Tamandua tetradactyla: one gene and its partners. The protein of the gene in region 1 purifies or fractionates together with the protein of each later gene. This does not show direct contact. Links are inferred from orthologs where the notes say so. Each region holds a gene or a part of one and is shown in the gene's direction. Other genes may lie near its edges. The genes, in order: EHMT2, ZNF644, CDYL and DNMT1.

Region 1 (7,857 bases):
ACGCGTGGAAACAGCGATCAACAGCTCCGATACTCGCCGGGCGGTTTAGGGCCCTGGGATAGGCCGCGATTCTACCACGGTCTCCAGCGCCGCACAGGTGGACCAAAGCGGCACCACTTCTGGGAGCAGGTGGCAGCCAGGCCAGCGGGATGCCAGGCCCACTGGGAGCCAGGCGGACGCTCAAAGCTGGAAGGCGGGGTGCGGAGCGGGTAGCGCCGCTGGCCGCCGGGAGCAGGAGGCGGGCCGGAGCAAGCGAGCCTCCGCGCGGCACTTGGCACGCACGCGCAGACGGACCGCGGGGCCTGGAGGCACAGAGGAGGGGGAGCGAGAAAGAGCGGGGAGTGGAACGTATTTCCGCTCTGGCGGACAAATAATCTCGGCCAAAGGGGAGGCAAGGCCGTCCGGCCCCTTTAACCGCGTCAGGGGGGGCTGGTGAAGAAAGGGGGGTCGGGAAGGGGGGATCCTGCTCCTTTAATTCCCTCCCCTCTTCCTCCTCCCCGAGTCCTCGCCGCCGCCGCCGCCGCGCGCGGGGCCTGGGACACACGGCACGAGCCGCCCCCGCCCCTCCCCCTTACACCCACGCGGAGCCGGCCACGCGCGCGCGCCCCGTGCACCCCCGCGCCTGCGCGTTGCCCAGGCCCTGCCCGTGTGTGGGGGGCGCCGCCAGCCCCGGGGGGGTGGGGGAAATAGGGGGGAAAAAACAGCGCGCGGAACCCTGCCAGGTGAGAGGCGCGTGCATTTAGGGTCGTGGGGCTGGGGGGCGTGCCACGGACCTGGGGGGTGGCGTGCACGATGCGTGCAGACGGCAGGAGGGGGGAACGTGAAAGGCGCGTGCAAACGTGCAAAGGGGGGGCGGAGGAACGAGGCTGCGGGTAAAGGGGGCGGGGTGAGAAGAACCTGCAACCCGGGCCGCCCCGGAGCCCAGAGTCCCAGGTCTCTACCCCCCCTCCCTCAGTTCCTCCCCAGTGGGCTCGCGGGCTTGCCCGATGCTCGCCGGCGGCCCCGCCCCCGGCAACCACGCCTCCTTCTCGCAGGGGCCCAGCGACTCCCCTGGCACTGGGGAAACTGAGGAAGAGTCCTGAAGTCTTGTGGATAGGGTGTTGGGGATAGGAGGTCGAGCAAGAATGGAGGTGCGGGGCCTAGAGCCACGGCTTCGGAGAGCCAGAGACCTTTGTCTCTGACCATTTTCCTTCCCAACTAGGGTTGCCCCCTCCGCCACAATGGCCTCTGGGGTGGAAGTCCTGCGCTTCCAGCTGCCGGGCCATGAGGCCGCTACACTGCGGAACATGAACCAGCTCCGCGCAGAGGAGCGGTTCTGCGACGTGACCATTGTGGCCGACAGCCTCAAGTTCCGCGGCCACAAGGTCATCCTGGCCGCCTGCTCGCCGTTCCTGCGGGACCAGTTCCTGCTGAACCCCAGCTCTGAGCTGCAGGTCTCGTTGATGCACAGTGCGCGCATCGTGGCGGACCTGCTCCTCTCCTGCTACACTGGTGCCCTGGAATTTGCCGTCAGGGACATCGTCAACTATCTGACGGCTGCCTCCTACCTGCAGATGGAGCACGTGGTGGAGAAATGCCGGAACGCCCTCAGCCAGTTCATCGAGCCCAAGATTGGCCTCAAAGAGGACGGGGTCAGCGAGGCCAGCCTCGTGAGCGGTGTCAGCGCTACCAAGTCCCTCCTACCTCCTGCCAGGACCCCAAAGCCGGCCCCCAAACCCCCTCCTCCACCTCCTCTGCCCCCTCCGCTCCTGCGCCCTGTGAAGCTGGAGTTCCCGCTGGATGAGGACCTGGAGCTGAAGGCGGAGGAGGAGGACGAGGATGAGGACGAAGACGTGTCTGACATCTGCATTGTCAAGGTGGAGTCCGCCCTGGAGGTGGCGCACCGGCTCAAACCCCCCGGAGGCCTGGGAGGAGGTCTGGGCATCGGAGGATCCGTGAGCGGCCATCTCGGGGAGCTGGCCAAAAGCAGCATGCCCCCCAGTGCCGTGGCCCCGCCGCAGGGTGTGGTGAAGGCATGCTACAGCCTTTCTGAGGATGCAGAAGGGGAGGGCCTGCTGTTGATCCCAGGGGGCCGGGCCAGCGTGGGGGCCACTTCGGGTCTGGTGGAGGCGGCAGCAGTGGCCATGGCTGCCCGGGGGGCGGGGGGCAGCCTGGGGGCGGGGGGCAGCCGGGGGCCCCTGCCCGGGGGTTTCTCGGGTGGGAACCCCCTGAAGAACATCAAGTGCACCAAGTGCCCGGAAGTGTTCCAGGGCGTGGAGAAGCTGGTCTTCCACATGCGGGCGCAACACTTCATTTTCATGTGCCCGCGCTGCGGTAAGCAGTTCAACCACAGCAGCAACCTCAACCGCCACATGAACGTGCACCGCGGCGTGAAGTCGCACTCGTGCGGCATCTGCGGCAAGTGCTTCACGCAGAAGTCCACGCTGCACGACCACCTCAACCTGCACTCGGGAGCTCGGCCCTACCGCTGCTCTTACTGCGACGTGCGCTTCGCCCACAAGCCCGCCATTAGGCGGCACCTCAAGGAGCAGCACGGCAAGACCACCGCCGAGAACGTGCTGGAGGCCAGCGTGGCTGAGATCAACGTCCTCATCCGCTAGTGGGCCCGGGGCCCCTGGGCTCGGTGGGAAGGGTCTAGGAGAATGGGGGGGGGGGGGTCTGGGGCAGGAAAGTATGGCGGGGAACCTAGCCAGACATATCCTGAGGGAGGGGCCGAAGATTCCTTGGAGAGAAGACCCTGCCTCTTCACAGCGGGGAGTGGGGGGGAGAATGAAGGAGATGGGGAGAGGGTTTTTTGAGGTCAGGGGATCCGGAGTCCCAGAGAAAGATTGTCTCTAAGAAGTGCATGGATATATGGAGGGAGGGGGAGGGTCCTATAGAATGAGGAGAAAAAAGACTGGAGCTTGTGTTATTCTGGGTTAAAGGCTGCCCAGGAGGAGATTCTGACATTTCATGAGGTGGGTTTGGGTGGGTGGGAATCGGGAGGGAACTGGGCAGGAGGCAGCCTACATGCTCCTGTTTAGAATAGACCCTCAGCAGAGGGAATGGTAGGGGAGAAGAGTATTGAATCCCAGAAAAGAAACGGGGAAACGGTTCTTGCATGCTGGGGGTTGGGGACTTTGGGTACAAGGCTCTCCAAAATTCTAGGGAGAACGAAGTAAGAAGTCAGGTAAGAGAATATGGAGGTGAGCATCCTGGGTAGATATTGGGAAGTGGGGGTATAATAGCGAGAACAGTGTGAATAGTGGCAGGGGTGGGGGGAGGGCACTTAGAAGAGAGGACACAAGGGCTGTTGGGGGGGGAAGGAGTAGAGACTTATACAGTATTTTTTAAAAAAACAAAACGTATTTTTTAGGATTTTTTCTGGAGTTTGGGGTTTTAGTTTTTCTGCTTTTATTTTCAACAAAAAATAAAAAAAAAAACCACCTTTTTTTCTTTATACTCTGGCAACTGCGTGTCTATGACCAACCCTTTTTCTTTATTCAGTTCTCTGACTGCCCCACCCTAGACAGCCTCTCCCTCTAATGTGGCATGCTCAATACCTGGAGATCACAACTCCTGCAGGTCCCATCCCCGAAGGACCCCAGCCTGTAACAGGGAAGGGAGAGTGTAACAAGTGTGCTCCTCTCGCCAGGGACTCTTGTCAGTTCTGTAACCTCAGCACCTTGCAAGATACCCCATAGCACCACAAGTGCAGTGGTTGTTTGGTAGTGGCTGGGATGCACCTGAGTTGCTTTTCTATTTGATGAGTTCGGTATTAGGACTAGGGATAGGTTATACAGGGGGGTCAGTATGTCCACTGAATTATAAGCAGAATTCCGGGTTTGGGCAATTTTTGTCTAGGTAGTAGGTACAGTTTCCAGGGAAAAGTGAACAACCGCTACATTTGGGTTCTGGTGCAAGGAAGACTACAATTCCCAGAAAGCTATGGAATAGGTCTTAACCAAAGAGAACTACAGTTCCCAGAAGGCCTTGAATTGGCCTCAGGTGCCCCTTATCTCAACCACCTACCTGTGTCCAATACTTCCTGTGAAATCGTTATCTTCCAAATTTAGCCAGAATGCCATACCTAAAGGGGTGGTACTTTAGTGCTCGAGGTTGTACATTTTGGTGCAATATCATTCCTACTTTCATTGATAGCTAGGCTATGACTCATGGAGTGTCTGATTTTGCTTGTGAAGTGTTTAGGAAGTGAAAAAAAGGGTAAATGCAGTGTCAATTGGTAGTAATGATTCTTGGGCTGCTGGGGCTTACCTGGATCCCTAGTGCATGTGATGCAGTAACATGCCCAGCATAAACACAAGAGACATTTAGTCTCAGGTTTTCAAAAGGGGACGCTACTAGAGGGGACAAGAAGCAGCAAGGCCACACTAGCAGAGCGTGTAAGTGTTCTCGGCGCATCCCCATCGCCCCCTTCTTGCTCCTTAGAGAAGCGAGGCCAAAATTACGGCTGAGCCTTCTAGTCTGGTGACCCAGAAACCAGAAAGAGAAAAGAGCAACCAGAAGTGGGAGAAGCACACGCGGGCCGGATAAAAATACAGCCGAGGCCAAGAATCAGGAGGGTCAGACTCTCCGTTTGTTACCTAAAACCAGGTACGCACGGAAAGGCCACACTTGGGCCCAGGCGTGCGTCGCCCTCGGTTCTCCGCAGAGCTGAGGCCAGGAAGGGCAGCAATTGTCGCCTACGGCCTGGAGCTTAGAACAACCACCGCCATCTCCAAGGCAGCTCTCGGGGGAAAATGGCCAGAAAAGCGCTGTGCGGCGCCTTTAAGACCCCTCCTCGCCCTCCCTCCCCCCGCCCACGTGACCCGGGGCGGCCGCGCGCCGGCTCGGCCCCCCGCGCGAGCGGCGATGGCGGCGGCGGCGGGAGCTGCAGCGGTGGCGGCCGCCGAGGTGCGGAAGGGGAGGGGGAGAGGCGGGTGCATGCCCGCGCGCGCGCCCGGGGGAAGCGCGCGCCCGTGCAATGCTCCGGGGGTGCAACGGGGCCGGGGGGCCCGGGCGGGACTTGCAGCAATCTGGGGGGCCAACACCGGGGGCGGATGAGGGGACCAGGGGGTGGGAGGTGGGGGGAGTGGGCACGGAGGCGCGCGTGCAGCCGCCGGCTGCCCCCGAGTGGGCGGCGGGCGCCGGGGCCCCAGCGACACGCGCGAGGGGCACGAGGGGCCGTCCGCCAGGCTGGGGGGCAGCGGGCGCTGGAGGGGTTGGTGCCCGGGGTCCCCGCGGCCTGGGGGACAAAGGGGGAGCGGCGCGTGCAGCCGGGAGGAGGGGGCGGGGCCGGGGCGCGGAGGCCCCGCCCCCTCCCCCTCCTCTCCTCTCGGCCCCAGAGATGCGGGGTCTGCCGAGAGGGAGGGGGCTGATGCGGGCCCGGGGGAGGGGTCGTGCGGCCCCTCCGGGCAGCCGAGGCCGCGGAAGGGGGGGGGGCCCATAGGGGAAGAGGTAGGCCCCGGAGCCTGCTGTCTCTTCCCAGAGCCCAGGCGTCCTGGGCCCCCCAACTCCCTACCGGCCTGACCAGCCCTCCCGTCCCTTGTCTCCCCTCCCAGGGGGAGACCCCCGCTGAGGTGGGGGCACTGCTGCTGGAGAAGGAGCCCAGAGGAGCCGCCGAGAGAGGTGAGTGTGCAGCTGAAACGGGCCCAGTTGGACCTTCACCTCCCCCAATATAGCCCTTAGCTCTGTACTTTTTTCTCTTCCTCTTTAGTTCATGGCTCTTTGGGGGACACCCCTCGTAGTGAGGAGACCCTGTCCAAGACCACCCCCGACCCCCTGGAGCCAGCTGGCCCCTCATCCCCAGCCTCTGTCACTGTCACCGTTGGCGATGAGAGGGCTGATACCCCTGTGGGGGCCACACCGCTCATTGGGGATGAACCCGAGAGCCTCGAAGGAGATGGGGACCTCCATGGTGGCCGCATCCTGCTGGGTGAGAGGCTGGGGGTGGTGGGGGGGTGGAGGTGGGGGCGGGGCAGCCTTTGACTCTGCCTTCGCTCTTATCTTGCCTTCTGCCTGTCTGCCTGACTGTTTTTTAGGCCATGCCACAAAGTCATTCCCCTCCTCCCCCAGCAAGGGGGGCGCCTGTCCCAGCCGGGCCAAGATGTCAATGACAGGGGCTGGCAAGTCCCCCCCCTCAGTCCAGAGCTTAGCTATGAGGCTGCTGAGCATGCCAGGTGCCCAGGGAGCAACAGCAGCAGGGCCTGAGCCCCCTCCGGCCACCCCCAGTCCAGAGGGGCAGCCCAAGGTTCACCGAGCCCGGAAAACCATGTCTAAACCTGCCAATGGACAGGTAAGAAGTGGGGGGTGGGGGGTGGGGCGATCAACTGCCAGGAAACTCTTGTGGGCTTTTTTTACAACTTGGTTTCAGGCGTCTTCTAGTTCAGTCACGTGTTCACATATGGTTTCAAGGGACTGGGCCAGGGAGCTTAATTCTTGAACACACGTCTTTGTGTCTTTCTGGAGTTTCACGTCCTTGGAGAGGAAGACAGAGACAGGTTTAAAGAGTTAATTATATAGTCAAAGGTCTTACTTACCTTTATGATAATGACTATGTAAAGGAACTTGAAACCACCCTTCCTTTCTGCCTCAAAGCCAGCCCCCAGGGGAATTTTTTTTCTCCTTTCTTTGAAGCTGCCCCTGCTCCGTTTTAAATTCCTGGGAATCCCTATGAGGAAGGACTACAGAAATGAGTGGAGGGAAATGACAATGGCCCCAGAATCTCAGAAACTTTATGGCCGGGTTTTAAGGACTCTTGATAACATTCTGTCCTGGCTGTGGTTTGGGCAGCCTCAGTCAGGTCTTTCATCTTGTGTGTGTGTGTGTGTGTGTGTGTGTGTGTGTGTGTGTGTGTGTTAAAATATATACAATGTAACATTTCCCATTTTAACCACTTTGAATTGCTCAACTTGCTGGTATTGATTACATTCATAACGTGTGACCATCAACGAGGATCTTTAATCTGTAAAGTTTGTTTTCTCATCTTAAAAATGGGAGAACGACCCCTGCATCTGGGTGGCTGAAAGATAAGTGATGGTTGGTGGTGGGGGATGTGCTTGACATCCTCCTCTGAGGCAAACAGCCCTTGGTATTGCTACATACTCGTTCCTGGAGACCCAGATGGCATTTTTAAGGGTGTGGCCCGCCAATCCAGCCCCACCAAGGGCTCCAGGCTACTGTGCAGAACTGTAGGTATTCCCTTCTCCTAAGTGTGCTCCCTCTCGGCCCCCAGCCCCCTGTCCCCGAGAAGCGGCCCCCTGAAGTGCAGCATTTCCGCATGAGTGATGACGTGCACTCCCTGGGGAAGGTGACCTCAGGTCAGTCCCACCCCCCACCCACTGCAGCCTGATGTGGCCTGTCCGCAGGATTTCGAGTACAAGCCTCACTCCTCTCTCCTTCCAGATGCCGTCAAAAGGAGGAAACTGAACTCTAGAGGCAGCCTGGTGAGCCAGGAGAGGCAGGGAGCGAAGCCTCTCCACCTGGGGTTGGGGTGGGGCTGCTTCAGGGGTGCCCAGGCCTGGGACCCGACTCTGGGTGCTCAGGGGAGGTGAAAGTTGGTGAGGAGTGCCAGCGACGTCAGTTTTTCTGCTCTTTTTCTAGTCGGATGAGTTGGCTTCTGCCCGGGGCTCAGGAGAAGTGACTCTGGAGAAGGGGGACCCTGGGCCCCTGGAGGAGTGGGAGACAGTGGTGGGAGATGACTTCAGTCTCTACTATGATTCCTACTCTGTGGACGAACGCGTGGACTCTGACAGCAAGGTGAGATGGAGCTGGCCGGCCTCCCCCAGCCCCCCTCCACCACAGCCTGGGTTCACTGGCCACACTTTCCTCCCCCCTCCCCCATTCATTTTGCGCCCATTCATTCACTGCCTAATACTA
Region 2 (6,960 bases), on another chromosome or scaffold:
GCTGGCTACAGTATGGGACAGCACAGGTATAGTTAGTAAGTGCTGTAGGAGTATGGACAAAGTGTAAAGTAGAAACTGAACTGAGCCTTAAAAGATGACTGGGTCAAGAGTATGAGACTAAAGGCTGAAGAACACTGTTCCTGTAAAGAAGAGATAGAAATTAAAGCAAGAGATATATTTTGAAAGCAGATAATAGAATAGTCTGAACCCGGTTTAGGAAATTTAGTTTGTATATTGTGGGGTGTGTGTGTGTGTGTGTGTGTGTGTGTGTGTGTGTGTGTGTGTGTGTATTTGAGGGTGCCTAATCCATGGTCATAAATTGAGTACTTGATGAATATTTAATAGAATTAATATGAAGCAGAATACCAAAAATGCTAGAGAAACTCTACTAGCAAAGCCATGTGGGCCTTTAAAGAGAAATTTAGGGAATATTGATACTCTATGGTAATATAATGGAGAGTTTTTAAATAGGGTGAGAACTAAGAAAAGGTTCTTCAGTTTGGCCAATACTTTGTTATTGGTGACCTGTTTTTAAATGTTTTATTTAGACATAATTTACACATAGTGAGGTGTACAAATCGTGAGTACAGGTTAGTGAATTTTTACATATAAGTGAATCTAGGTACCTTCTACCCAAATCAAGATATAGAACATTTTCAGAACATTTTGGGTCCCCTTTTACTAAATGGAAGTAAGATTCTTGTGCCTACTGTCAGTCCCCTTTCAAAAGTAACCACTATTCTGAATTCTATCTCTGTAAATTAGTTTTCTTGTTTCTGAACTTAATTATGGCATATCTGTCCTCCTTTTCAAGGGTAGTGAGAGTTGGTGCTTGTGTCTATTTCTCTTCTATCCTTGTTTGGTATTTGTGAATTTGTTGGTATTTTAGTTTGCTGAAGCTGCTGGAATGCAATATACCAGAAATGGAATGGCTTTTAAAAGGTGAATTTATTAAGTTGCAAGTTTACAATTCTAAGACAAAACAAATGACCAAACTAAGGCATCCAGAGAAAGATAACTTAACTCCAAAGAAAGGGCCCATCAGGGTTTCTCCTCAGCTGGTAAGACACATGGCAGTGTCTGCTAGCTTTCTTTCCTCATTTCATAGGACTTCCCTGGGGGTATTTTCCTTCTGCCTGTCTGCAGGTCTCTGGCTATGTGGGCTCTGTTGGCTCTGAAGCTTTTTCCAAAATGGTTCCCTCCAGTAAGCAATCCCACCTTGAATAGGTGGCGACACATCTCTATGGAAACCATCTAATCAGAAGTTATCACCCACAATTGGGTGGGTCACATCTCCATGGAAACAAAAAAAGATCCCACCCAGCAGTACTGAATAAAGATTGAAGAGTATGGCCTTTCTGGGGTACGGGACAGTTTCAAACCTGTACAGGTGGTAAAACAGACGATGGGTAGCTGGAACCGTGGCCCTTCTGTTTTATTTCGGTTTTTTGTTTGTTTCCCCCAATCTTGATTATGCCAAGTTTAGAGAGATCCTTAGTCTTCACTATTATAACTCTTTAGAGGCTAGTCTTATGATTTCAGTGTTTGTTCAGAATGGAGAGATGTGAATTTCCTTCACAGGTAACATAAATTATCTGGCTTGCTTTTAGTACAGTATTCTCTAAACACATAGCCAAGAAGGAGGTGGAGGAGGTCTTAGGTTGCCCCCTAATGTAGTTGCATTTTGGATCCTCTTTGACAGTAGCTTGTAGGTAATATGTAAGTTTAGCTTTCAGGATTTCATATTTGCTTAATAAAGTATTGGGTATTTCTTATTGTGATCGTAGGGATAGAAATTAATTGGTGTACTACTGTTTACAGATTTGTATCCACCTTAGAATGAGAAAGATTTTGGCATTTATTTGTGTGTAAATAATTAGGATATTACCCTAAGGCAAATTGCACAAAAGATTCACTGGTTAAAACCCGTGAAGGAGATTTCATAAAGTGAGAACTGAAACTAGAATTGTTGATCATGGTTTTTATTTCTAGGTCTTCAATCAGTTTGTTTGTTTTTTTTTTTCAAAATGGGTTAGCAGCATTATTTTTCATAAATACTGAGCACTGGAAGCTTTTATTATATAACAATATTAAATTGGTGCTTTGGGGAGAAATTTGATTTTGTTCTGAAATATGTATTACTAAAAAAAGTTGTAAAAGGTATGTAATGATGAAAATATGTCTTCATATTTTAACATGCTTAGCTTTGAAAATTGGAGTTTTTTTTGTAAATTATGCAGAATGGAGCATGAAGAATTTCTCAGCATTGGATTATGAGTGCTTTTGAGTTTATGAATGAAAATATTTACTCTATTAAAAAGTTGTATGTTTGGACTTTGTGCTTTGTTTACAATTTTTAAAACTAAAGTACATTTAATATATTCCTATTTCAAGAATTTTAATAGTTTCCTTAAAGAAATAATAAAACCTCATCTATCAATTTTTCTTATTGTAGGTTTTGTGTTTGTGAAGTATAGAAGACTAAAGCAGAATTAGGTTAGGAATTGAAAAAGTATATGCTTGTTATCTACAAAATATCAAAACTTTCTTCATAGCTTATTTGGGCTAGATTTCAAAACTTACAAACAAAATTATTACAATGGTACTAATTATATGTAGGAAGAAATGCATTGAACAGTATATGTTTTCCTCTTGACAAAAATGAATGTTATATTTGAATTCGGGATTGGGAGATTTGAATTTTTATATTCGGAAAAGCATTGTGTCATTATATTTCTCCCCACTTTTGCTTGTTTAAATGTTTATTAGTTATTATACAAATTCACTTACTGTCTCACTAGGAATATGCACATATACAGTGCTTCAAATAGCTCCTGATCTAAAACGTGATTTGAAGAGCACCTATTAGGGAAATATTTGAATTACTGAGCTTATGTGAAACAAAATAATATGAATGAATGGTTTATAGAAAGTGTATTAATTAAAAAAAACCTCTTGGCAAAAATTTTTATCTAGATATTGAAAAAGTGGTATGTGTAGATTAGTGGAGAGGGAAGGTACTGTCAGCTATGAGAAAGTCATGTTTAAAAGCACGGAGTAGTTCAGTGATTAGAATGCCCGCCTTCCATATGGGAGACCCAGTTCGATTCCTGGACCATGCACCAAAAAGAAAAAAAAAAAAAAAAAGCACAGAGATGGGAATTATGGAATGCAAGCATTTTCCTTGGCTGAAGTAGAGTTTATTTGAAATAAATATAATGAAAAATAAACTTGATAAGATTGTGTCTTGAGCTAGAGGAATCTAAAGGAGTTTTATGAGAAAGAAATAAGGAGTTTTACTGAAAGCCTTTGAGCAGAATTGCATGAGGAAAAGAGGAGAGGGATTAACAGTCAAGTAATATAATTGGAGAAAAGATTGGTATGAAGAAGGTCTGTTAGGAAGTTAATGTCTTGGTTCACGATGAGTATATGAAGGTAGCATGGGTAGTTTTAAAATAAAACAGGTGGGGACTAAATTAAATCAGAATACGGGGGTAAGGAGGACATTGTTTGCATTTTAGAACTTCACCTACTCTGCGACACCAAAGGAAGAGAGGTTTATTTTGTCCAAAACTTAAATTTTCTGTAGCACATAATCTAATTCAATCTGTTTGGATAGATGATTTCAACAATCCAAGCACATTGAACCCAGAATGGGAATAAGGGCTTGTAATTCTGTATAGCTTAATGTAATGCACGGATACGTCCCAGAGTGTGATGAGAGATACTGAAAAAGTATGGCAAAATCCCTTGAGGGGTGGGAGAAAAATTATGGAACTATTAAACTCTACCAATGAGGAAACTCCTGGTACTGTCTCAAACATTAGGGACTCCCAAGTCAATAGGCCATGCCCTTGATCTTGAGGCTTGCTCTTGTGAAATTTATTTATTTAGTAGAGAAGCTAAGCCTACCTATAGTTCTAAGAGTTACTTCCAGAGGACCTCTCTCTCTCTAAGCCCAACTCTGCAAGTAAAATCATTACCCTCTCCCCTTTGTGGGACATGACATGTAGAGGTGAAAGCTGTCTTGGCAATATGGGAAATGACTTCCAGGGATGAGCCTGATCCTGACACCATGGGATCAGCAATGCCTTCCTGATCAAAAGGGGGAAAAGAATTGTAGCAAATATGGTGTCAGTGGCTGAGAGAGTTCAAAAAGAGTCGAGAGGCTACTCTGGAGGCTACTCTTATGCAACTTTAGCTACATATTGCTGTTTATCATGGTTTGCTAAACCCCAATCCACACCTTTCTTGCCAACCCTAATGAACAGCTAGGGTTTTATCTGAGATTCTACAAAGGTTCCATGCATTATGATTACTCTCCAGAAACTTAGAACCTCTGGATGGATTCCTAGGCCAGATAATTCCTGAAACCCAGAGGGGCCATCTTCTCCAGAAAATGACCTAGTTCTGTCCCCTTCTCCTATATTATCAATAGCCCTTTCCAACATGAAAAAGTTGAAATGGACATAGCCCAAATACCTCTAAAGATGGGAAGAAAGATCAAAGGAGAAGGTGGAGTTATAATAGAAAAAATGACATTTAACAAATGAGTATAACAGCTGAATCATATTTCTTTTAGATCCAGTGTCTTGGAGCAGGTAGAAGGAAAAACCTAAAATTGTAGAACTGTAACCCATACCAAACTGAAATTGTGATGTGCTTTGAAATTTATTGCTTTTTTGTATATATGTTATATTCACAAATAAAAAATAAAGTAGATTTCTATTGTGGCTCCTAAGTTTGTAGTGCAAAGTTAAAATAAGAATGGAATAGTTTTATTATCTTCTGGTATTGAACATAAATTTACTTGGAGAAAATTTTCATTGTTATTAACACTAATTGAGATACATCTGCCTTTTTCTATTAAAAAAAACTGACCTGAGGTTTTTTTTTAAAGTTTGATTTGAAAAATAAGTAAAACACAAGAAAATTATGCTATAGCAGTATTTTCTGAATTTCAGGTACTTTTGAGTACAAAATATTTTAGATGAACGGAAAGAGAAGATGTAAACTGTAATGCTGAGGTTTGAGCATTTGAACTGTGGTTCTAGAGACATTCTAATTGGTAGAGGGACAGTTGGGAAAACAGGTTAATTAAAATTAATAATCTGGGGTGGGCCATCATGACTCAGCAGGGAGGGTTCTTGCCTGCCATGCCAGAGACCCGGATTCGATTCCCGGTGCCTGCCCAGGCAAAATAATAATAATAAATAATAATAATAATATGAACTACCAGTGTTTCAATTTATTTTTAAGTAGATATTTGTTTAAAATTTAGGAGCATTTGGGAACATACTGCTTTTTTTATGAGAAAAATAAAAATCCCTAAACTGTGGTTCCCTCAGGGTGGTGGTAGTATTTGATATTTATGATATGTTTTTCTTAATGTTGACTTTAAGGTTTCCTAAGTTGAAAGTGTGCTATGTTTTATAATGAATGAAGACCTTTTTTACAGTAGAAGTAGAAAAACATGAAATATCACAGAAGTAACATATATTTTAAAATCTTTTCTGCTTTTATTAGAGTTAGAAGATATAGCAGAAATTTCGGAGTTAATGAAATTTTTAAGATAGTATATTTGTCATAACAAGTTTACATTTTAATTGTTATCACAGTTAATATAGACTTAACTTCAGTTAAGAAGTTAATGGTGAGATTTCTGGCAACATGGCAAAACAGGCACATTTGACTCTTAAGCTTACTACTGAGGCAAAACAGCTAAAGTAAAAGAATACATTTTCCCCTACTCACTCTCGTTGGGAAATAGAGATTCTGCATACATGTCTGAAATTTGGGGTTTCTGTATAATAGTGTGGGTGAGCAGGGGTGACCGTGGAACTATCTATTGATTAACCTAGTAAACTGGTGCAAGGAGAGAACGGTGGTGGTGAAGTTAGAGATAATTTTCAGTGGTTGCGGTAGCACTCAAAATTTTGTGCTGTGGCAGTAAATGTCTTACAGTGACAGTGCCATTGACATTTATGCAGTGACATCCTAAATAGGATGCCTGACCGCCTCCTTATTCATCTGATTTTCCAAGCCTGATTCACCAATTTTATTATCAAGTTTGATTATTTGATATTCTTCCCATAGCTTTTTCTGAATTTAACCTTAGAAATTTAGACTGAGAAATATTGTAATTCAATGTTTGAAAATTTATCATATAAAATACATAATAGAAGGTTGAAAGATAAAATTTAGGAAATCTCCCACATGTAACATAGGGGAAAATAAGAAAAAAGATCACACTTGTGGGTTTAACATAGGTGTGATTAAAACTACAGAACAGGAGAAAACGGATGTAGGGAATTGTTTAAGAAAAATTGAAGCAAAACCTTAAGTTTCTAGATTGAAAAGGCTCACAGAATGCCAAACATAGTGACTGAAATAAAGAATCACATTATGGTGAAATTTCAGACACCAGAAATAAAGGGAGGGCTCAAAAATTTCAGGTGAGGGGAGGGAGGAATGGGATGTATAAAAAAGGATTGGTACTCAGTAATGTTGATACTTGAGTAAATAAAATAATACCTTCAAATTTCTGAAGGAGAGTTTTTTCCAAACTATTAATTCTATATACCCTGTGTGTATACCCTACCAAGTGTAGGAGTAGACTAAAAATAGGAAATGTTAGAATATTTACTTCAAATACACTGTATCTCAAGAAGTTAGTACAAGGTGGGCTTCATCAAAATAATTGGGAAATCAAAAAGAGGAGGGAAAACACAGAAGAAATAGAAAAAAAAAGATTTTTGCAACTATATTCATTAAGGGATGTTGATTTGTTTTTGGTGTGAGGATAATATTGTCGTCTTAGTATGAGTTGGAAGAGTTCTTTTCTATTATTTGACCAGTTAGTGAAAGACTGGTGTTAATTCTTTGAATATTTGCTAGCTCTCACCAGTGAAATCTGGTTCTGCGCTTTTCTTTGTGGAAGTTTTTTGACTACTAACTCAA
Region 3 (7,962 bases), on another chromosome or scaffold:
AGGGTAAAATATATTGGGTAGATGGAAACACTAGTGGTCAATGAGAGGGAGGGGTAAGGTGTATGGTATGGATGAGTTTTTTCTATTTCTTTTTCTGTAGTGATGCAAGTGTTCTAATAAATGATCATGGTGATGAGTACACAACTATGTGATGCTATTGTGAGTCATTGATTGCACACCATGTATGGAATGTATCTGTGTGATGATTTCTCAACTAAAAAAAATGAATGGGAACATGTCAAAAGACACAGAAGCTAGCTTTAAGTGACTCTCACTGGATAATTTTTGGACAATTATACATTAAAAAGTATAATCACCAGAATTGATTAAACACATTGAATATATATTTTTAAAAATTGTTGAGTCAATAATGGCACCCTAAAGGAGAGTGACTATTGCATCAATGTCTTCTCTGAAAATCACAATTAAAGGGAAGGAAGTGAAGATTTATCCCATATTTATAGATAAATCTCATCTAATAAATATAGGAGAAATGGTAAAATTAGAAAATTGCCACTTTTTGTTTTCTCGTGAATCAGTGATCCAAACAAGGACAATCAATGGATGCTAAAAATCTTAAGTAAAATGTTGATGCTGATGATAGGATTGTCACATGGTACCTAAGAATTACCACCCAAAGATTTCTCCCCAGTCACAAAGGAGAGAATATGACTTTATAATGGAGAGATCTGGCCATTATCACCTCAAACCAGCATTTAAACATAGCATTGCCAACAGTAGGATAACTGGTTAATATGTTCCTTCCAATGATACAATAAGAAGTATACAGCATCACTCATGAAGTTTGTTTGCCAAATATGATTAATTTGAATTTAGTTAAGCCTTCAGTTCGTTATAACTTCCAGATACAGGAAATACAGAGAAGAGAGAACAGGACAAGATGTTATGAGGAAACAACCAGACAAAGCCAGAATGTGGGGGGCAGGGCTGGAAGAAAAGTGGGGAGATTGTCTTAGAAAAAGAGGGATATCTGGATGAGATCTTGTTTTGAACAAACCAGAGATACAAAATATTTGGGGGACAAATGAAAAAATTTAAATATGGGCAGAGAAATTGTTATCAGTTTAATTTGGTGTGATACTGGTATTATGGTTATGTAGAAGAATGCCATTTTTAGAGATGTATGCTGAAGTATTTAGGGGTGAAGCTTCTTGAGATCTGTAATTTAACTTTTAAGTGGCTTAGAACAATATTATATGCATTTGTGTATGTTATCTATCATATGTCATATGAAGCAAACATGGCAAAATGCTAACAACTGTTAAATCTAGGGAAGGATAATATATGTGCTCATTATCTTTCCCTTTCTACATTACTGTATTATTTTTAAATTTTTCATAATTAAAAGGCAAAATAAAAAATAAAGGATGAGAATGCAAAAACCAAAGTGTTTAATACAATCAACGTTTGATTCAACAAGCATTTGTTCACACATACACATACAAATATTTTCAAAGTGAAAATAGAATGTTTCCTAGAAAGAGTGTTTTCAGTGTAGAAACATATATCAAGTAAAGAAAGCAAGAAAAAAAAGTCTAAGCTACCAATAGTTAGAAAATAACATCAACTCCTAACATATCTACTTTCAAATTCCAATCCCAAACCATCTCAGTTCAAATGCATAGTTCGAAGTCTTACTAAATTGTTTGAGGCAACTTCCTGGAAATCTTTCTCCTATCTAAACATTTATCGAAAGAGAAGGCACTTTGAAGATATCTATTAAAACGTTCAGAAGTAAATTTCTGGCAGGAATTTGGCAATGAAGGGTTCTGAAACTCAATTTCATGTAAGGGTTTAAAAGGTTGAAAAACGTTTTTGTTTTATTTTTTAAAAGGAGGGAGTTAGATCTTACCTTTGAAGAGCCTCAACTTCAAGAATCACCCATCATAACCAGTGTTCTGGGTTTAATCAATCTTTGTTGGATAATTGAATTCCTTTAAAAAAAATCTTTTTCTTAATAAAGCAAGAGTAAGGATGTGGGCAGGAAGCTTGTCAGATCAAAAAGATCTCTGTGGAATCTTTAGAGGAAATAGGAGACCTCTCCGTTCCCACTCCTTTCTCAAGCCCATGAAAACCAATCCTCCACCCATCTCCAGCATATATATCCCTAAGAAAATCATAAGGTAATCCTGAATTCCAAAGTCACTGGCCTCTTCCACCCCTTCTCCTCTTCAGTTACTCTGTAATCGTTAATGTTAACCATACTGACCACCCACCCAACTCTTCCTTCTAGAAGGATCTTCCTTCCCTACACAATGAGCCTGAACTTGACCTTCTTCTCCTCCCACATCTTCTATCTCCTTACTCTTTTTCCCTCCTCTGTAGACTAAATGTAGTTATTTCACAAGACTCTCACTCCCCTTACACAGCCTCAACTCTTTCTTCCAGACAGATGACCCTCAAACTTACATTACTCTAGCCCTAACTTCATTCTTCAGTCCCAGACCCAAATTTCCAACAACCTGCTGGTAATATGCACCTAGTTGGCCCACAGGCGTTGACTTTTTGCTATTGTTTTTTGTTTGCTTGTTTCTTTTGTACGGTGGGGGGTCACACTTCATTCTTTTTCCATGTGATTATCCCATTATTACAGCACCATTTGTTTTTTGTTGTTGTTTTGTTTTGTTTTCCTTTTTCTTTTTTGGAAGTGCATGGACCAGGAATCTAACCTGGGTCTCCCACATGGCAGGCAAGAATTCTATCACTGAACTACCCTTGCACCCCACGCCCCACAAGTGTTTTAAACACCATCTGAAAGATGGTCCCCTGCAAACCTCCTCCTTTTTCTTCTGCACTTCCATCTTTTCTGTTTTCTCATATAAGAAAATACACTGTAAATTATGATCTGATATACAAATAGAGGCCAATCATATTATTATCACTAATAGAAATATCATCATCCTCCCAGTGCCTCCAGATTCAAAATCAACGTCGCTGTCCTCCCAGCACTTCTAGACTTAAATATCGCCATCCTCCTTAACTGTCTATTGGTTTGGAGCCAAGTCTATTTGTTCTGAACTCTGAAGCAGGGGCTAGTTATACAGGTTCCAAAGCCTCACCCTATGGAGATTATTCAGAAGGTCAAGGAGGGGGGCCATGTAATAAACATCGTCATTGTTTACAGATTCTGTATATCCAAATGTGCCTACTCACAAAAAAATGTATTTGTAACTCCAAAATTGATACTTATGGTCATTTACAGGCACACAGAAAGCAACAAAAAATCATAGACGTCTGAGACACATATTCCCAGCTGAGGTCAAACAAGATGATGCTCTGCCTTCTTGTTTCAGTTTTCATTAATGCCATGTTTTTAGTATTTTTATGCTTTTTGTGAGGTTTCACTGCTTGTGTTGGTTTAATGCCCCAGAAAAGATCATGTTCTTTTAATCCATTCCTGTGGATGTAGACCTCTTACGGGTTGACGTTTTCTATTCTTAGGTCAAAAATGACATCAACCTAGAAGTCGATGTCATTTTCTAACTATTGATAACCTAATAACCATAATAAATGTTCTTATGAAATGACCTTTTGATTAGTGTGATTTCAGTTGAGGCATGCCTCAGGGTGTATCTTAATCCTCTTACTAGAATCATTTAAAGAAGATAAAAGACAGAAAAACAAGCTCTAGAGAAGTTTAGAGAGAAAAGCCCCACAGACGTTCAGAGCGGGTCACAGTGGCTCAGCAGGCAGAGTTCTTGCCTTCCATGCCAGAGATCCGGGTTCAATTTCTGGTGTCTGCCCATGTAAAAAAAAAAAAAAGGTCAGAGACACAGAAGCTAAAAGAGAACCACACAGGAGATAGGAGAGGAAGCCATTGAAGTAAGAAGCTGGACGCAATGAAACCCAGGAGAGAAGGAACAGCAGACATCACCATGTGCCTTGCTGTCTGATAGAGGAGCACAAGCCCACTGTAGCTGGTCTTCAGAGTCCAGAAATCACCCTGTTGATGTCTTGATTTGGACATTTTTCACAGCCTTAGAACTATAAATTTTTAAGTTAATTTAAATCCCCCTTGTAAAAACCAATCCATTTCTGGTACATTGCGTTTCATCAGCTCTAGCAAACCAAAACACTTTAAAATGGCCTCCAAAAATGCTCCCAAGGGAGCGTCATGAAACAAAAAGCCTGGAGATAAGCTAGCAGACTTCACCATGTTCACCATGTGCCTTTCCAGTTGCAAAAGTAACCCTGAACTTCATTGGCCTTTCTTGAGTGAGGGTGACCTCTTTTTGGTGCCTGAATTTGGACATTTTTATACACTTGCTTTAATTGGGACATTTTTATGGCCTTAGAACTTTAAATTTGCAACTTAATAAATTCTCCTTTTTAAAAAAAAATGGCATCCAAGCATAGTGCTGAATGGTAGTCTAATATTCCTAAATGCAAGAAAGCTGTGATTGGCATTAAACGGAAAAAAGTGTGTTAGATAAGCTTCTTTTAGGCATGAGTTATAGCTCGGTCAGTCTAAATTCAATATTAATGAGTCAACAGTATATATTAAATAAGTTGTCTTTGAACAGTAATATGCATAAAACAAGATCATGTGTTGATCAATTGAGAAAAATGTGACCAGAGGTTCTCAGGAACCAAGCCCTATATTCCTCTAGAAGCCATGATTCACTATTTACTGACATAACAACCACAAATAAGGATTGACTGCACACATTTAAAATCTCCCCAAATATTTGTAAGAATTGGCCAAGTGTGGAAACCACTGCTCTGAATATCACATTTTCCAGATCCAGTCAGATCAAGAGAGTGCTCTATAATCGTAACATGCAATGGTCGCCTTTAAAACTGCTTTTACTGAGCTGTGATTTGATGTTAAGTTCTTAGCTTTTTTGCAGGATGTTACAAGAAGTAGAACAAGTACAGAGGTGTGAGGATGTTACATCATAGAGGGGCCCTCTTATGAGGCAAAGCCCCTGCCCAGTAAGGAAACACCCAGTGTAGAGACAGACCAGGGGCACAGAGGAGGGAAATACAAGCTGATTTCAGTGACCCTCTTGGTCCTTGAGGAAAACATCTATTCCTAACCTAGACCATTCCTGGAAAGCAATGGATTTCAAGCAACATTCTGAAGAGATTCATCTCAGGGTACAAAACAGATTGGAAAGGGATGAAGGCAATGGGAGGGAAAGAGTAGCAGTTGAAAGACTGGTGACACACTGTGAAAGGCCTTGCCTTCTAAACCAAGGAGTCAAAATGTCACCTCAGGCCAATGGGAGATTACTGAAAGGTTTTGTTGAAGGAATAGAATGGTGGAAGCAGTGTTGAAGAAAAACAAACTTGATTACAGTGTTCAGGATGGAGATAAAGGTTGGGAGAAAAATTTAGGCACCAATTCACAAGTATTTTATGTAATAAGGGACTGAATCAGAATAAAAGAAAAGAAATCTGCAAGAGACATTTCAAAAGAAGAAATCTGGGCATTGTGATTAATAAGATTTTGGCATAGAGGAAAGGTAGAAGTCCAAAATTATGTCCATATTTTAGATTGAATGAGTAATGATTCAGTGATTAGAATCATTAATGACTGACGCATTGTGTCTTTCATATAGGCAATATGTGGAGAAGGATGAGGATTTCTGTTTTAGGTAATTGGAGAGGAACTGAAAGCACCTATAGTTTGATGGTGGACTATAAACCCACAAAAGAATATGCCCAGCTTGATCTTTTTTTAAGCATCAGTTTCATACATCCAATTATCTACTTGCTAGCTCCACTAAGACAACTCAAAGGCTCCTCAAACTCAGGATGTCTGAAGTTGAGCTCATCATCTTCCCATCAAATTGGTCTTCTTTCAAGTTTCCCTAGGGCAATAATGGCACTCCCATTCATTCAGTCTCCCCAAGCTGGAAACCTAGGAGTCAACCCTTACAACTTCCACTGACTCATATCATCATTTCTATCCCATTGCCAAAGACTACCACGTCTACTTCCTAATTCTCTCTACATTCAGTTCATTTCTTTCTATCACTAGCACCATCATCATAGACCAAGTTACCTTCATCTCTCATTTAAACTACTCCCCAAAGTACTCTGATACGCTGACCCTCCTCTAACCTTGTCTTTTCAGAGCAGCCACAATGATTTTTTCAAAGTGAAAATCTGATTAATGCTAGATTTAAAAGCTTTTTAATGACATCCCATTGATCTTAGGATGAAGATGAACTTAAGGGGGCTATAAGGCCTTATAGGGTCTATTCCTCACCTCTATCACCAGCCTCATCTTACACCATGTTTGCTGTGGTTTGAGTTGTTCCATGCTCTGGTCTTTGCTCTGTTCCTTTAGCCTAGTATACTATCCACCCACCCTGCTAACTCCAACCTCTGACCCTGCCACCTCTCCCTTAATTAGCTCCTACTGTTCCTTCCAGTCTGATGTCAATACACTCTTCCACAGGACCCTCTTTGACCTTGCCTGGTTTAATTTTCCCCTGCTGGTGGTCACTTTTTACAGCTACTCAGTAATTCTAGTCAAATGATTTCATGCTTCCACGTTCATTCCTTCCCTGCCTACAATTTCCTAGTGTTATAAATGAGAAGAATCAGAACCAGAGTCTAAAGGTTTTTATTAAGAATGAGATCTAGACCAGGAACTGGTTGTGGGTTCCAGACTGGAGCATCCAAAAGGAAAGATCAAAGCCAAGGAAGCATCCCACTAATTGCCACTGCAGTAGATACTTGGAGCTGAGAGTTTTGCCCTCCATCATCAACCTAGAAACACATAGCCTTCCCTGAACTGCTGCTACCAGCACCAACACTCAGTCAGACAGAGAACAAGGAAGACAGAGGCCACAGAAGGTCTTCCAAGTGACCTTCCTTAAAAGATGGAATGAAATGGTGACACTTTTATCTCTCTATTGAAATGCAGGTCCTCACTCAAAGAAGGGGCTGAAGCAATGTTTGCTTACTGCTGAATAAATAAATAAATAAATAAATAAATAAATAAATAAACAAACAAACATTGACCAAAACCAGCCTCTGAGGCTAATCCATCTGCTTTCCAACCTCTTTGGTTTCTAATTCCCACCAGATCTCCAAACCCTGGATGTGCCACTGCACACATAATCAAAATGTATTGTTCTAACTGTGCCAAAAAAAATCATTAAACATATAGTGCTGCAGTAATGGGATATTCGTACGGAAAAGAATAAAACGTGACCCCCACCACACAGCATACAAAAAAAAAGCTTTTCATGGCTCCCATTGCTTACACTGATCAGAATCAATTGGGGGTCTTAATACAATGCAGACTGTGGTCCCACCACTGACAATTCCAATGAATCCTGTAGAAAGTTAATCGATACCTCAGATACGTTTATGCACAATACTTTTTTTATCCTTTCAACATTCCCCTGAGAGTATATTCTTATCACCCTTGAAAATAAGTAAAGGAGACTCTAAGACTAACATCACATAACATAATCTGTCCACTGTAGTAACTTGTCTACTATCAATCACAGAGTGAGCAAGTAATGGAACAGAAATCCAAAGCCAAATCTGTTGATTCTTTTTATGACATCATATGATCTCTAGCCATCCAAATTCCTTACCTGGGCTTGCAAGACCTTCAAAGTTCTGACTTCTAAACTGGGTGAATTTTGTTGTATATAAATGATACTTTAATTTGAAAATAACATGAAAAAAAATCTGACTTTGATTCATCTTTCTGAACTTTTCCAAGAGTAATCACCTCTCCTCCCCACCCAAAGATTTGTAGGCACCATGTGCTTTTTTGAGATCAGGCATTGTGTGCTATCCTATCCCATTATTACCATCTCTACCCCTTTCCTTACCCTGTAACTCCCATCTAAGGACCCCTCCTCCATCCATGCCTGCTGAAATCCTGCCTAGGCTTCAAATTGCAGCTAAACACTAACTCTGTGGAGCCTACTTCACTCTTTCCTCAAAAGGAAGCTCTACTCCTCTGTG
Region 4 (6,846 bases), on another chromosome or scaffold:
AATTCAGATAGCAAAGTTCTTATTTTCTGAATATTGAACACTAACTTAAATAGCATTTGATCAGCTGTCAAAACTGAATGCTCTCAAAATATCGAGTAGAAAGTTCTTACAAATATCTTCATTGCTATAGTCATGACCTATGTTACTAAACAATTTTCTCGATTTCAGGAAAATACGAAGATACAAATATTTTTACAATTAACATGAAAATCTTAACCACCTAAACTGGATATCTTAGTTAGCTTATTCATAAGCGTATTAAAAAAAAATCTAAGCAATCATAGTAAAGCCTGTTTGTACAATATGTTTCATAAGCCAATTTAAAATTAAAGCAAGCAAGGAAAAAAATCTGTGGATATTAGATTGCTATCTAGTTTCTTAAATTCTAAATATTAAACCCCCTATCTTAAATGCCATTTGATTAACTATCAAAGGGGTGCATCTTTTTGTTAATAAAAGTTTACTGCACTGCAGCCGTGGCTATGGTTTAGAACTGTCTATGGTGATTTTTTTAATTTTAATTTTTTATTTTCTCATTTAACTTTTTTATGGTGACTTTTGCGCTCTAAGGGCAGGAGCGAGACCATGTGGCCTGTGAAGCCAACTATTTTACTCTCTGGGCCTTTAAGGAAAAAGGTTGCTGACCCCTGCTCTAAGAGACCACAAGAGACAGTAAATAAGAGAATCTCTGATGATGATCAATGTGACGAAAAAAAGAGGGGAATGGAGCTGCTTTTGGGTGGCCAGAGGAGACCCTGGGTGGAGTTGGGTGGATCTCCCAGGAGACTGGTCTAGGAGGAGGGGGCAGCATAGGTTAAGCCTGTGATGCACGCAAGAGCTTGAAAGAGTAAAAGGGGGCCAAGTAAGCTGAGCTCAGTGAAGGGGGGAGGAGACCCTGTAAATGGAATAAAATACTTGGATTTCATTTCAAGGGCAATAGGAAGTTTTGGAAGATTTTACAGGAGAATGACATGTTCCAATTATTTTTATTCTTTTTTTAAAGCTCTCTGGTTGCACTGTGGAGAAGGGACTTTCCGGGACAGCTTGGAGCTGAGGAGGAAGCTGCTAGAATAGTCCAGGTAAATGAGGATGGCAGGCTGGGCTGGGGTGGCAGCAGAGGTGGTAAGGAGAAGGACTTGGGTTGCATTGCAGAGAAAAAACCAACAAGAGTAGCTCATTCTGTGAGGGCTGGCTTAGTTTGCTGGGGCTGCTGCGACAAATACAACACACTGGTTGGTTGGCTTAAAAACAGGGATTTATTGTCTCATGTTTTTTTTGAGGCTAGGAGTCCACAAACTGAAGTCTCGAGGCTGCACTTCTTCCTGGAGTCTGTAGTGTTCAGGTGGTAGCTTGCCACAATCCTTGGGGTTCCTTGGCATGCATTTCTGCCTCCGTCACATGGTCATCTGCTCATTTTCTGGCTTCCTCTGACTTCTGGCTTCTACTGACTGCCTACATCCAAATTGCCTCTGTTTGTAAGCCTCCAGTATATGGATTAAGACCACCCTGATTTAATTTGGCCTTAGCTGTGAAAAGGATGTTTGCAATTTGCAAATGAGTCCAAATCTTAACTAATAATACACCTTCAAAGGTCCTGTTTACAAAAAAAAACCAAACACATGGGGATGTGGATTGGGACTTGAACCTATCTTTTGTGGGGGAGGTGAGTGATTCAATCCCCAATGCACGGGGAGGAGAGAATTTAAAGATGGTGCCTGGCTTTTTGGCGTGAGCAGCTCGGGAGAAGACCACTGAGTTGGAAGTCGAGCTTTGACACGAACTTGCCATGGGCCCTTGGGCAAATCTTTTTTTTATGTCCCTGAGCCCTTGTCCCATCTGTAAAATGGGTCAAGTCATCCCTTCCTCACAAGGCTGGCAAAGGACCCAATAAATGCAGCTGTTCTCTCTGTCAAGTTGAGGCCCCTGAAATACAGGTCTGCTAGTCTGTTCCCCACCCGGCTTAGAGGCCTGGATGCTGGGTTCCAGCAGGACTGTGGGGCCTGAGCCTCACTCTGGCAACACTGTCTTCTACCTGCCATCCTGTCTGCCCTGCTACCTCCTTCATCTAGTTCTCCCAGTGCTGTCCTTTTAGCCTCCCAGGGGTCAGATGGCTGACCAACCCTGGGGTCACTGTTTTGCACTCAAGCTCTGGGTTCAGAGTTCCTTTTACTTACTGAATTTATGATCTTGGGTCCTCAGTTCTAGACCATGGGAAATGGGGTCCTAATATCTCCCTTTAGGGTTTGTTAAGGATTAAATTATATAACTCCTAATCAGTCTGGTATAGAATAGTACATAAATGCTGGTTACCTATAAAATTAATAACTATTAATTATACTCTTAGTATTATTATTCCGTCTTCTTGGATCTTGCCATGCATAGAATCTATAGCAACCAGAGGGCTTGAGGTCCACTTCTGGCCAGGCACGCTTCTCCTTCCCAGCTGCTAGGGTGCCTACAGTGTGTGTGCGCACGCGCGCGCGCATGTGTGCACACAAACACATTCACTTGTTAAATACCAAGAAAATGAAAAATTATACCACAATTTTAAAATTTTTTTATTAATGAAACCAATCAACATACACATGAACCTATTCTTAATGTATGAACATTCCATACTTGGTGTGCAATCAATGGCTCACAATATCATCACGGTTGTATATTCATCACCATGATCATTTCTCAGAACATTTACATCACTCCAGAAAAAGAAATAAAAAGTAAAAAGAAAAAACTCATATATACCATACCCCTTATCTCTCCCTTTTATTGACCACTAGTATTTCCCTCTACCTAATTTATTTTAACATTTGTTTCCCCCTATTTATTTATTTTTAATCCATATGTTTTACTCATCTGTCCATACGTATATAAAAGGAGCATCAGAACAAGGTTTTCACAATCACACAGTCTCTTTGCAAAAGCTATTATCACTGTGCAATCATCTTAAGAAACATGGCTACTGGAACACAGCTCTACAGTTTCAGGCACTTCTCTCTAGCTTCTCAGACACACCTTAATCTAAAAAGGTGATATCTATATAATGTGTAAGAATAACCTCCAGGATAACCTCTGGACTCTGTTTGGAATCTCTTAGCCATTGACACTTCATTTTGTCTCATTTCGCGCTCCCCCCTTTCAGTCCAGAAGGTTTTCTCAATCCCTTGGTGCCGAGTCCCAGCTCATTCTAGGATTTCTATCCCACATTCCCAGGAAGGTCCACACCCCTGGGAGTCATGTCCCACGTAGAGAGGGGGAGGGCAGTGAGTTTGCTTGTGTGTTGGCTGAGAGAGAGAGAGAGAGAGAGACAGACAGACCACATCTGAGCAATAGAAGAGTATACCAGAATTGTTAAGTTGACTTGGTTCTTTTTTAAAAAACAGGCTGTGGACGTGATCTCGCCCTCCCAGCACTACCAGGGTCCTTGGCGCCAGCTACATGTTCTGTGTATCCTACAGATTTTCTGGAGTAGGTGCTATTTAGCCCCGTTTTACAGGTGAGGAAACAGACTCAGTCCAAGTGACCCACCGCTCAAGGTCGCCTAGTGAGGAAAGAGATGGGGTTGAAAGCGAGGACTTTAACTCAAGGGCCTGCACGCTGGCTCGTAACCCCCTGAGGCTGCTCGCTACTTTATCCTCAGAAAGCCCGAAAGAATGAATGAATGAAAGTCTTGGGTAGGGCGCTCCCACCCGTTGCCAACGACGGAGCTTGGGCAGGCCCACTGCCCCGTGTAGGGGTGCGCGCCCGTCTCGCACATGCGCGGTGCCTGTGCACGGCTTTTCCGCCCGTACGTGGTACGGCCTCTCCGTATGGTACGTCCCGCTTTCCCCCTTGGGCAGGCCGGGGTGGTACACGCCGTCTCCCCTCGCCGCCCCTCCCAGTCGGTTTCCGCGCGAAAAGCCGGGGCCACCCGCCCGCGCTGCAGCCTCCGAGATGCCCGCCCGAACCGCCCCGGCTCGTGTGCCCACGCTGGCCTCCCCGGCCGTCTCACTGCCCGATGATGTCCGCAGGCGGTAAGTGTCGTGGGAGACTGCGTCCTCGGGGGCGGCCGGGGTGGGAGAGGTACGGCGCTGGAGGGGGGGTCGCTTCCCCTCGGGCCGGCTCGCGGCCGCCGCTGACAGGCGGACGCGCATGCGCGGGATGGCGCGGCGGGCGGCGGTTGGCGCGGTCAGGGTGGTACTTCCGGTCGCGCGTGCCCCTGGCCATTTGGCGCCAAAATGGGCTGTGGCCCCTCACGGCGCGCTGGCGGCTAGAAACGTGGGGTCTCTTTAGACATCCCCCCCCGCCCCGCAAAACGGAGCAAAACTGGGGGCTCACCTCGGGGGGTCTCCTTTTGCTGAGCAGCGGTGTTAGGCAGGGAGCGGCCCCCCCAGACCTCTGGACGCCCCTCAGCCCCGGCACTCTGGCCTCCACTTCCGGTGCCCAGTTGGGCCGGGGTCCGGCCGACCCGGTTCTCCGTGATTCGCACTGGGGAGACCCTTCGATTCCCCGCGCTGTGCATCCGGATGGCGGCCTCCAGAGACCGACGTCGCCGGTCGAGGCCCGGGCGAGGCCGGCTTAGGTTCGCGAGCCCGAGCCTTTCATGGGGGCTCTGTTCATTCCCTCGGGCTGTGCGGGTGTCGTCCGCCTCCTACCCGGCAGCGCAGGACCGGGACCGCGGAGCAGCTGGATAACGCGGACTGGTCCTTTCTAGGAAATCTGCTTGCCTGGGAGCCCTGGGCATCCAGGAAGCCTCGCTAAGCCAGAGGTGGCTGCAGTTTGCAGGGTGGCATCTAAAACAGGCCCCTTCCTGCCTGAGTTGGGTCCCCGGTGGACAGGGGTCGGTGGAAAGAGCATTTGGCCTCAGCCTCTTGTTTGTGGAGGGCATATCAAATTCACTCTTGGGAACCCCATTCCCGGGGCTGAAGGCTTCCACGCCAGATTTGTGAACCCAGCTTTGCCATTTCTCCTTTTCCCTGTGCTTATTTCCCACCCCATCCCCCAAGTCTAGTCCGTATTGTGGGGCCAGACCAATTCTGATTGGGGCTTTTGGAGGTGAGAGGTGTGTGTGTGTATGTGTTTAGGGGCCCTGGGGCTTCTGTACCAGTCATTTAAAGCTCAGCCCACTTTTTAACCACGGTTAGAGGGGATTTGTCTTGTCTGTTGCAGGAAATCAGGCTTCCCATCCTTCCCCAAGATATCCTGTTACTTAAAATGGAAATGAAATGATGAAAGTATCTACCTTCACAATGTGAGACCCACTAAATGAAATTTGGGCCCTGCCTTATTTTCCTTGATGATAACCCTCTCTCCACTGGCTTGCCTGTGACCTTGGGCAAATGTATGCTGCCTCTGCATCTGTAGAGTAGAATTAATAGTGTCGGCTTTAAGTGACATTATCGGTGCATAAAGGCATTAACATTGTTTTCACCTAATTTGCCTTACTTTTTTCAGTTCTGCTAATCAGTTACAAATTTCATGAAGTACTTTACTTTATCTCATTTAATCCTCAAGATCTTAAAAGCGGGTTTCTCAGGAATTTGCTATTAAGAAGCAGAGATTTGTGCTTAAGTCTGCAACTTGCCATAGCCTTTTTCCTTTGCCAAGTGGTTGCCAATGGCCCACTGACTCAGGGGGCTCTGTGGCCTGGTTGAGTGCTTTGTTTGAAATAAAACACCTATGGATGAGTCTAAACACTCACCAGTGCACCCCAGGTTCCATATAACTTTGGACTAGAATTGCCGCCTCTTGGTATGAAGTGATGACACCCACATTAGATCAAGTGATAGTCACTGAAATTATTAGCTTATGTGAACTTCTTAACAGCTTTTTGTTTACATTTTGAAGTATCTCACGGTACAAAAAAATAGACACATAAACATGACATTCAACAGTCCCTTAAACTTAGATTTTGTAAATGAATGTAAATTTTTTTTTTTTTTTGCATGGGCAGGCACTGGGAATGGAACCCGGGTCTCAGGCATAGCAGGCGAGAATTCTGCCACTGAGCCACTGTCACACTGCCCTCAAAGTACATTTTAACAAGCAGTTATAGAACAGATTTCAGGGTTTGTTATGGGTTACTATTCTACTATTTCAGATTTTACCTTCTAGCTGCTCCGAAACACTAGAGGCCAAAAGAAATATCAGTATTGTGATTCAGCAGTTATACTCATTTGTTAAATCCTTTTTTTTTGGTTATAACTCCTCCTTCTCCTTTGATCCTTCTCCCAGTCTATAGGGATGTTTGGGCTATGCCCATTCTGACTTTTTCATGTTGATTAGGGCTGTTAACAATAAGGGATAGGGGGTTGTAATTAGTTGATAATCTTGGAGAGGCTAGTGCCTCTGGGTTTCAGGACTTATCTGGCCCAAGAACCCTCTGAAAGTTATAGGTTTCGGGAAAATGAAGTTAGTGCATGAAACTTTTATAGTGTCTCAGAGTCCTAGGTGTTCTTAAGAGTTAACAGTAATGATGTTGGTTGGGGTTGGCAAACCATAGGAATTAGCAGTGTTTAGCTGAAGTTTGCATAAGAGTAGCCTCCAGAGTAGCTTCTGGACTCTGTTTGATCTCTCAGCCGCTGATACCTTATTTGTTATACTTCTTTTCCCCCTTTTGGTCAGGAAGGTATTGTCCATCTCACGGTGTGAGAGCAGACTCATCCCTAGGGGTCAGGCAGCTTCCTTTTTAAACTCCTTTTTAACTTCCTTTTTTAACTTGTAGTTCCATTAGATATCTAATGATACTAGAAAGTATTTCCAATATTTGTATTTCTAAACTTTTTGAAGTATAATATACCCAAGTCTTCTAAAATCATGCCTTTCAGGGCAAGCCACATTTTTCCCTGTGATTTTTCTTACTCTGCT

What was found.
Region 2: the proteins of EHMT2 (region 1) and ZNF644 purify together in Homo sapiens (affinity purification with mass spectrometry; 3 studies listed by BioGRID and IntAct, with this or other methods). This does not show direct contact. The link is inferred for Tamandua tetradactyla from reciprocal best matches to the Homo sapiens genes EHMT2 and ZNF644.
Region 3: the proteins of EHMT2 (region 1) and CDYL purify together in Homo sapiens (affinity purification with mass spectrometry; 4 studies listed by BioGRID and IntAct, with this or other methods). This does not show direct contact. The link is inferred for Tamandua tetradactyla from reciprocal best matches to the Homo sapiens genes EHMT2 and CDYL.
Region 4: the proteins of EHMT2 (region 1) and DNMT1 purify together in Homo sapiens (affinity purification with western blotting; 3 studies listed by BioGRID, with this or other methods). This does not show direct contact. The link is inferred for Tamandua tetradactyla from reciprocal best matches to the Homo sapiens genes EHMT2 and DNMT1.

The regions. Positions count from the first base shown.
Region 1 is NC_135331.1:87,475,137-87,482,993, reverse strand, and holds the start of EHMT2 (histone-lysine N-methyltransferase EHMT2), read left to right. Parts: upstream 1-4,843; 5' UTR 4,844-4,851; coding exon 4,852-4,893; intron 4,894-5,540; coding exon 5,541-5,607; intron 5,608-5,695; coding exon 5,696-5,914; intron 5,915-6,020; coding exon 6,021-6,274; intron 6,275-7,213; coding exon 7,214-7,298; intron 7,299-7,383; coding exon 7,384-7,424; intron 7,425-7,581; coding exon 7,582-7,737; intron 7,738-7,857. Other genes in the region: ZBTB12 (zinc finger and BTB domain-containing protein 12), read left to right, coding at 1,221-2,600. UniProt on the Homo sapiens protein: Histone methyltransferase that specifically mono- and dimethylates 'Lys-9' of histone H3 (H3K9me1 and H3K9me2, respectively) in euchromatin.
Region 2 is NC_135337.1:33,361,841-33,368,800, forward strand, and holds the start of ZNF644 (zinc finger protein 644), read left to right. Parts: upstream 1-3,947; 5' UTR 3,948-4,463; coding exon 4,464-4,515; intron 4,516-6,960.
Region 3 is NC_135351.1:6,958,669-6,966,630, forward strand, and holds the start of CDYL (chromodomain Y-like protein), read left to right. Parts: upstream 1-4,954; 5' UTR 4,955-5,121; intron 5,122-7,962.
Region 4 is NC_135337.1:91,553,576-91,560,421, forward strand, and holds the start of DNMT1 (DNA (cytosine-5)-methyltransferase 1), read left to right. Parts: upstream 1-3,838; 5' UTR 3,839-3,933; coding exon 3,934-4,013; intron 4,014-4,217; exon of another isoform or gene 4,218-4,505; coding exon of another isoform or gene 4,506-4,561; intron 4,562-6,846. UniProt on the Homo sapiens protein: Methylates CpG residues. Preferentially methylates hemimethylated DNA. Associates with DNA replication sites in S phase maintaining the methylation pattern in the newly synthesized strand, that is essential for epigenetic inheritance.